Linked DNA regions of Neurospora crassa OR74A. The protein of the gene in region 2 interacts with the protein of the main gene of each other region in a biochemical or structural test. Links are inferred from orthologs where the notes say so. Each region holds a gene or a part of one and is shown on either strand. Other genes may lie near its edges. The genes, in order: NCU03905 and NCU02357.

The links.
Region 1: the proteins of NCU02357 (region 2) and NCU03905 form a complex in vitro, tested with the Saccharomyces cerevisiae proteins (2 studies listed by BioGRID). The link is inferred for Neurospora crassa OR74A from reciprocal best matches to the Saccharomyces cerevisiae genes PSE1 and YAP1.

Annotation. Positions count from the first base shown.
Region 1 is NC_026506.1:2,106,476-2,110,764, forward strand, and holds the start of NCU03905 (hypothetical protein), read right to left. Parts: upstream 2,863-4,289; 5' UTR 1,789-2,862; coding exon 1,339-1,788; intron 1,269-1,338; coding exon 527-1,268; intron 460-526; coding exon 141-459; intron 84-140; coding exon 1-83. UniProt on the Saccharomyces cerevisiae protein: Transcription activator involved in oxidative stress response and redox homeostasis.
Region 2 is NC_026507.1:2,762,064-2,764,486, reverse strand, and holds the end of NCU02357 (importin subunit beta-3), read right to left. Parts: coding exon 1,477-2,423; intron 1,425-1,476; coding exon 1,214-1,424; 3' UTR 823-1,213; downstream 1-822. UniProt on the Saccharomyces cerevisiae protein: Functions in nuclear protein import as nuclear transport receptor. Serves as receptor for classical and arginine/glycine-rich nuclear localization signals (cNLS and rg-NLS) in cargo substrates.

The DNA.
Region 1 (4,289 bases), on a different chromosome or scaffold from region 2:
TTGCTTTCTTCTGCAGATCGGAGCACAAGGCGTCCATATCAATCTCTTGGTTTTGTACACTGGAGCAACTGCGCAATTTGTCCCTGTTGAACATGTTAATAAAAGTCACATTTTCGAGGCCTCTCTCGGTTTGGTCATACCAGATCTTGCTGCAATCAAGTTGCTCTCTGACTCCATCATCCGATGCGTTGACCTCATCGATCTGAGCGATGAGATCCTTCTTCGGTGGTTGTGATTCTGCTTCGGGTTGTGGTGGCAGCAACCCTGGAGCTGTTGGTGGCAGATTATACGGTGCCAGGAAATCCGCATCGAATGCATCATTGGTCAACCAATCGTCAAATCCATTGTTGAGGACATTGTTCTGAGGCTCTCGGTAATCTCCGAAGAGCTGCGGATCAAACTGGAAATTGTCTTGAGGCAACCAGTTGAGAGTGTTGTCAACACCAAAAGTATTAAAGTCTAGAAAGTGTTGGTAAATTCTGGCCTATACAATCAGAGCGAACATTGAAGACTGGTGAATGCTTACCTGGCTGCCCTGAACCAATGACGCCTGGTTGCTCTTCTCCGATTGTGGCCATCGTATCTACTGACTTCAATCCGACGGGCGAATGAGTTAGAGGCTCTGGGGAGGTGCCACACGACGAACTAGCGCCACCCATGTTCGAAGCGCAAGAGGACGGGGAACTCGTTGACGTGCCGGCCCCCGCATTGTACTGAGAATCTGTTCCCCTGGTCGAAAAGTTCGCTCCCTCACCTCTTGCGGACTGAGGTGTGAAGAGATCGGCCGAGTAATGGGCCAAGTCTTCCTTGGTTTGTGTATCAAGGCCTATTTGGCCGTAATTGGGTGTAGTACCGGTGCTGACGCCATTCGTGGGTTGCTCCAGCCGACCTGTTGAAGACAAAGGGGGCGACACAGGGGTTCCCTTCTTGGTTTGATTTGCAGATTGTGGTCCAGGAAGAGGACCGCCAAACTTGGGGAATTCAAACTGGAAATTGACATCATTGAGGTTGCTGACAAAGGAGTTGCCGAACGGCATAGCCCGAGGTGATACCATCGGGGGTCGAGCTGTCATCAACGATAGACGCTTCTTGTACTCGTTCAGTTCGTTACTCATCTTCTCCATTTTCTTGCGAAGAATCTCGTTCTCATGGTTGGCAGTCTCGGAGATCTTCTTCAACTCTTCGACCTTGGTTTCAAGGTCCTTCAAGTGCTTTTCTTTGCGTTCTCTGAACGCTCGTTGAGCTGCTCGATTCTGGGCCTTGCGTTTCTGTTATTGTCACGTTAGTAGTCAATCCTTACTGAGACTCGAAAGGATCAATCGACCGAGGCAGGCTTACCGAGCTGGGCTCAGTGGTAAGAGGCTTCCTGCCGGGCTTTTTGGCAACTTTTCCCTCGCCCTCTCTCCTCTTTGGTTCGCTATTCTCCTCCTCGTCGTCATCCGGATGACTGCGCTTGTCGGGGGACTCCACATCGGCGGAGCCCGACTTGGAATCACTTGGAGCATTGGACCGATCGTCCGTCATGTGGGATTGATCACCAGTGTCGAAGTTGAAATCGAAGTTGGGGTCATGTTGTCCATCAAGGCCGTAGTCGTAACCGAAATTCGGGGTGTGCTGGAAACCCATAGGGTCGAGTCCTTGGGCAGACGTTCCGTTGTACATTGCGGATAGACCAGAGAGGTCGGCTTGTGTGTTGATGGGCTTGTTGGAATTGAGGGCGGCAAACAACAGGCTTTGTTGCTGCGGGGTGAGGACGAGATTGTGAAGAGGGTTCTGAGTCGACGTCATTTTCGGTTGTCTTGTATTGGAGATGGTGACTAAGAGGTAGAGCAGTCGGTTGAATCGAGGAAAGACCTTGGATGTTGAAAGGATGGGATGAATTCACTCTCGTGATCTGATCGCTCCTAGCGGTCGGAGCCGCACAGGCGGCAATTGTCGAGTATCAAGACCGCGGGTCCAATGGCAATGTGTTTTAGCGGAGGTCCGGGGTACCGGGCCCAAGATGTACGTATGTCCTGGTCGAAAACTGATGTCGGGGTAGATCAGATGCTAGTACGGGTGACGATAGAAAATCTCTTGCGGAGACGATGACGTTTCGACAGCACCGTAGACTGACTTTGGATCAGACGGGGACGAGCCAGCGGCCACGCAACTAGCAGCTTGAAAGGCAGAAAACTCGTTGAGCGTTGCGGGCTAGGACGGAATACCAAACCGGGCAGTTCCAGTTCCTGTCCAGTTCTCTCCCGCTTCTCTAGTTTTCGAGACTCAAGTCTTCTCCCAAGGAAGACGTTCGGTGTGAGGTGATGGGGTTTGCCGGGGGTCAAAACGAGAGGAAGGCAGTAGGATAACTTGAACTGAGACAGAAGAGAGGGGACTTGGTCCGAGTGGCAAGTTACAAAAGACGCGGATGTATTTGCACGGAATAGGTAGAGGTACCAGGGCGAAGTTGTGGCAGAAGGTGTAGAGAAGGGGGGAGAAAATTGCGAGTGCCCGAGATGTGAGCCGGAAAGGTTAACTGCCTGCTGGAACAGAACTAACCGTTGGCCGAGCCGAGTGGGTGGGATGGCGGCGGACGCTGACTTGAATTGATGGGCAAACCTATCGGCCTGACACCTGACTCACCTGGCACTCAGCCTTTCGGAATCCTGTCAGCAATTGGGTTCAGGAAATAAGGTACACGTATGATCCCGCGGGGGCTCCTTTTCTGCGATTGGAGAGGCGACGGCACAGGCTGCAGAGCAGGTTTGTGTTTCGTTGGTTCGCTGATACGATTCAGATCTGAGAAGGGAAGGACTCTTGGGCGGTCTTTGGCGATGGAGGGGACGAGACTAAGCGAGACCGTCCAAAAGCGGGCGAAAAGAGTGGACGCTCTTCTTTGGTTACAGGGCCAAACTCGTAGAATGCGGGCTACACGGGGCACAATTGGGCGCATGGACGCTTGGGGGTGTCCAAGTGGAGCGTGGAGGGGTTTCAGTCCAAAGTCAATTTGTCAGCGAAAATCAGTCGAAGGGAACGTCTGGATCGTTCCTGGACGGTCGGGTCGGGTGCGCCGTGACCGGCTCTGGCAACTGTCAGCACACCTTGACATGCCGACGACACCCCGAGTCGATTCGTTCAACAAAAGGACTGACAGTGAGTTCTATCAGATGCAGACAATCAATCAAAATCAGTCGGACCGTTTCCACAAAAGGTACCTCTATGTCGGTATCTTTTCCTATAAGGGATTTCTCTTGTTTCATTGCGTCCCACTACGTAGAGGATCACATTGACCGATTTGACGTGAGTGGGCTTCAAGCAAGAGCTGCCAGTGTCAATCTCTTGAACCGTACAAAAAAAGCCACTTTTTGTTTGACCTACACGTGTATGTACTACAGTATGTAGTTCTAGTCGGAGCCTCTCGAGTGCAGCCCGTCCACTTTTCATCGACGTGGAAATACATCAGTTTCCGCGGGTACCCCAAGTGGAGATTCTTGCAGGCAAAACACCGGAGTGGATAATAAGTGGCCTTTGTTCGACGGTGAAAGAGATGCACTCTCCTCTATCTCCGCATCAACTTGAGTTTTACAAACCTTAACCACAAATAGTGTACACTACACGTGTACTGTGTCCAAGCAAACAACAGCCAGGGGCATTTGTTTGAAAAATGGGCGCACTCGGTGTCGTGATTATCACCGTCGCAATTAGCTCGAGTCTGGCATGCTGGTTTGCCACTGAGACCTGAGTTCGAGACCCAGTCTCCCCATTGAAGATCCCACGTTGTTTCCGTCTTCCTGTCGGCAGTTCAGACGCCTCGTCGATAGGAAGCCCGCATGGCTTATCTCCGAGTGGCTACAAAATATACAATTCTCAGCTTACGGACAACTTGCCATCTGGTTTGGATTACCTGGCCAGCCTGGAGCCTGGACACAAAATCAGGCCATGTTGGACACACATGAGCTTGTCCCGTAGTCAGCTTCGGCTGCCACGGCGGGGAATCTCGAAGAACAATGTCACCGATTCATGTGGTTACCGTTTAAAAGTCGGGTGTCGAGTCTTGAATTGTCTTTTGTACCGATGGGAAAAGGCCCGTGCTGCCAGGAATGTCCTCCCGGCGGTGGTTGCTGCTCGCTGCAGTGCTTGCATCCATTTCCCCACAGTGGATGCGGCACCATGACACGGGCAAGACGGCAGCGCTACAGCTGCGGCGGGGATTCAAGGGAAGGGATCGATCAGCCTCCCATGGATCGATCCACCAGAAAACTGACATCCTCGACTGTTGCGCCAAACAATCAACACTTCGGCTGCAACCG
Region 2 (2,423 bases):
ACTCTACACTACACTACACTACACCACATACACTACTACACTACTTCTAGTATAAGTACTGTCAGAAAAAAAAAAAAAAGAAAAGGCACATTGCGAACCCACAATGTCCACGACGGGGGGGCCCGACCACTTAGGTACCTAACCAATCGGTAGGTAAACCAAACAATGATAAACAAGTTGCTCCACCAAATGACGTCGATTGTCGCACTTTTTGATTATTTCTCAAATAGACTAGGTAGAGAAAGGTATAATAGCCTCACACCCCCCTGGATGGACACTTGCGTATTATAGTGTACAGTACTAGGGCAAGATGATGTTTTTGGAGTACACCTATCGGATGGCAATAGACCTCGAGTACATAACCTTGCCGGTAGCGTAATACAGACATATGTAGTGTACACACACAAACGTAGAAAACAGCCAAGGTACAGATAGTGTCAGAGGGATGATGATATGACCATGGCACACAATTGAAAGTTGTAGTGTCCTATGCACCCATTCCCGTTCAGAACGGGGGACCCGGACCCAAGGTTTGTAAAATTGGTGTGGCTGCTTTAGTTGGACCCCAAAGAAAAGACCCCTGATCAGCCTCCATCTGGGTATGTATCGAGGGTACCATGTAGACTACAATGCCATACTGCAGATACCCGCCGCTATCAGATGCTGGTGGTCCATCAACTCCATTGTATTCTACCTATTCAAGGACCCTCGAGTACCTGTGAGCTTTTCCAACCAAAGACGCAACACATGTGCTCATGTAGCAGTAGCAGAGATCCAACCCTCCGATCTCTCCTGTATCCCACCCAAACTACTGGTAAAAGGCAAGATTGGAACGATCCATGTTACTTAGGTATCCTAGTCATTTACAAGTGTTTATGTGATTTTATACGTGTGTGATAAATGGTTACGTGCGCCGAAGGAACGTTATGGTGTGCATGGTATCTCCATCAAATTCACATTTCCGCTTCGACTCCTCTCGCCTTCTTCCCTACATGACCAAGGCCATCAACAGCCTGATTGCGTGCTCAAGTATTTCTCCACGCTCTTACCATGATTTCCCTACCAGTTCCTGTCGATCCCTTCTGGTTCCATGCCATCTATATCCTGATTTCCAAGTAGATCACCATCTTCCTAAGTCGACGTTTTGCTTTTCCTTCTCCTACGTCCATCAGCGATGTCATCTCTCTTCCACAGCCACTACCTCCGACACTTCTTAACTGCTAAACCGCTCCCGAATCAACTGCTGAGATTCGGGGCCAAATTGCTGCAGTACGGGGTCGGGCGAAGTACCGGTTGCTTGCAACAGGCTCTTGACAGCGGCAATCACGCGCGCGAGGGTCTGTCCGCTCAAAACGTCCACCTCAAGCGCCTGTGCGACGTAGTAGAAAGCTTTAGCGGGTTGCGAAATAACGACAGGATGTTGCCTATTTGCGGGTCAGTCGTTTCCAGTTCGCCATGTCAGGACAAGAGACTTACTTTTCAATCAGCTGGGTCATGAAAGCATACGCATAGGGCGCCGCTTCCTCGTCGTTCAAGACCGGCAGAGTCTCAAACCACTGTGTCGCAACCTGGTCGGGGTTGGCGACTTGAGAAGAGTTGAAATGCAGAATCTTGGCGATGGCAGCGCAGGCATTCTCCGTAGCGTACACATTGTCCTCGTTGCGCGCATCTGGGATCTGCGTAGCCTTGAAGAGAACTTCGACGGCTTGGCCCACCAACGGCGCCCAAGCCTGGCCGCCATGGTGGGCAGCCACACCGATGCCATACGCAGCCGCTTGACGAATAGCGGGAGAGGCATCCTGGCAGCCGAGGAGCAGAGGCTCCGAGATATACTGGGCGTAGTGAATGCTCTCAGCACCACAGTATTCTAGAACATCATCCATAATGCACAGTCCCCACTGTCGCTGGGTGGTATCATTCGAGCTCAAGAAGCTGCTGTAGGTGGGAAGCAGGCGGCTCCAAGCGCTCAAGAAGCTTGCGCCGTGGTACTTGAAAACAGCATGGAACGCCTTGTTCATGTCCGAAAGGAGAGTCTGGTCATCCTCAATGGCCATCTGCATCTCTTCCGACTCGTCCTCGCCATCTTCACCTCCTTGCTCCTCCTCACGAGCGGCTGCCCGATCCTTGTAATCCTCAAGAGTGGAGTGGACACCGTCGATGAAGCGGCCCATGTGCGTCTCATCGAGGCAGGCAGTGCCGATGACCTCGATGGACTCATAGAAGCATTGATACATCTCCGCGAGCGTATCAATGGCAGGCTCGGCGCTAAGAACGTCGAGGAGCTGAACGACGGTGCTGGTCCACAAGCCCTTGAGCTCGTTGGAGCCGGGACCGTACTGCTTCTTGTATGAAATGAGCAATTGCGGAACTAGCTTCGCAGACATGTACCTGACAGGATCGTGGAAGAAGAAGGCCAGACCAGG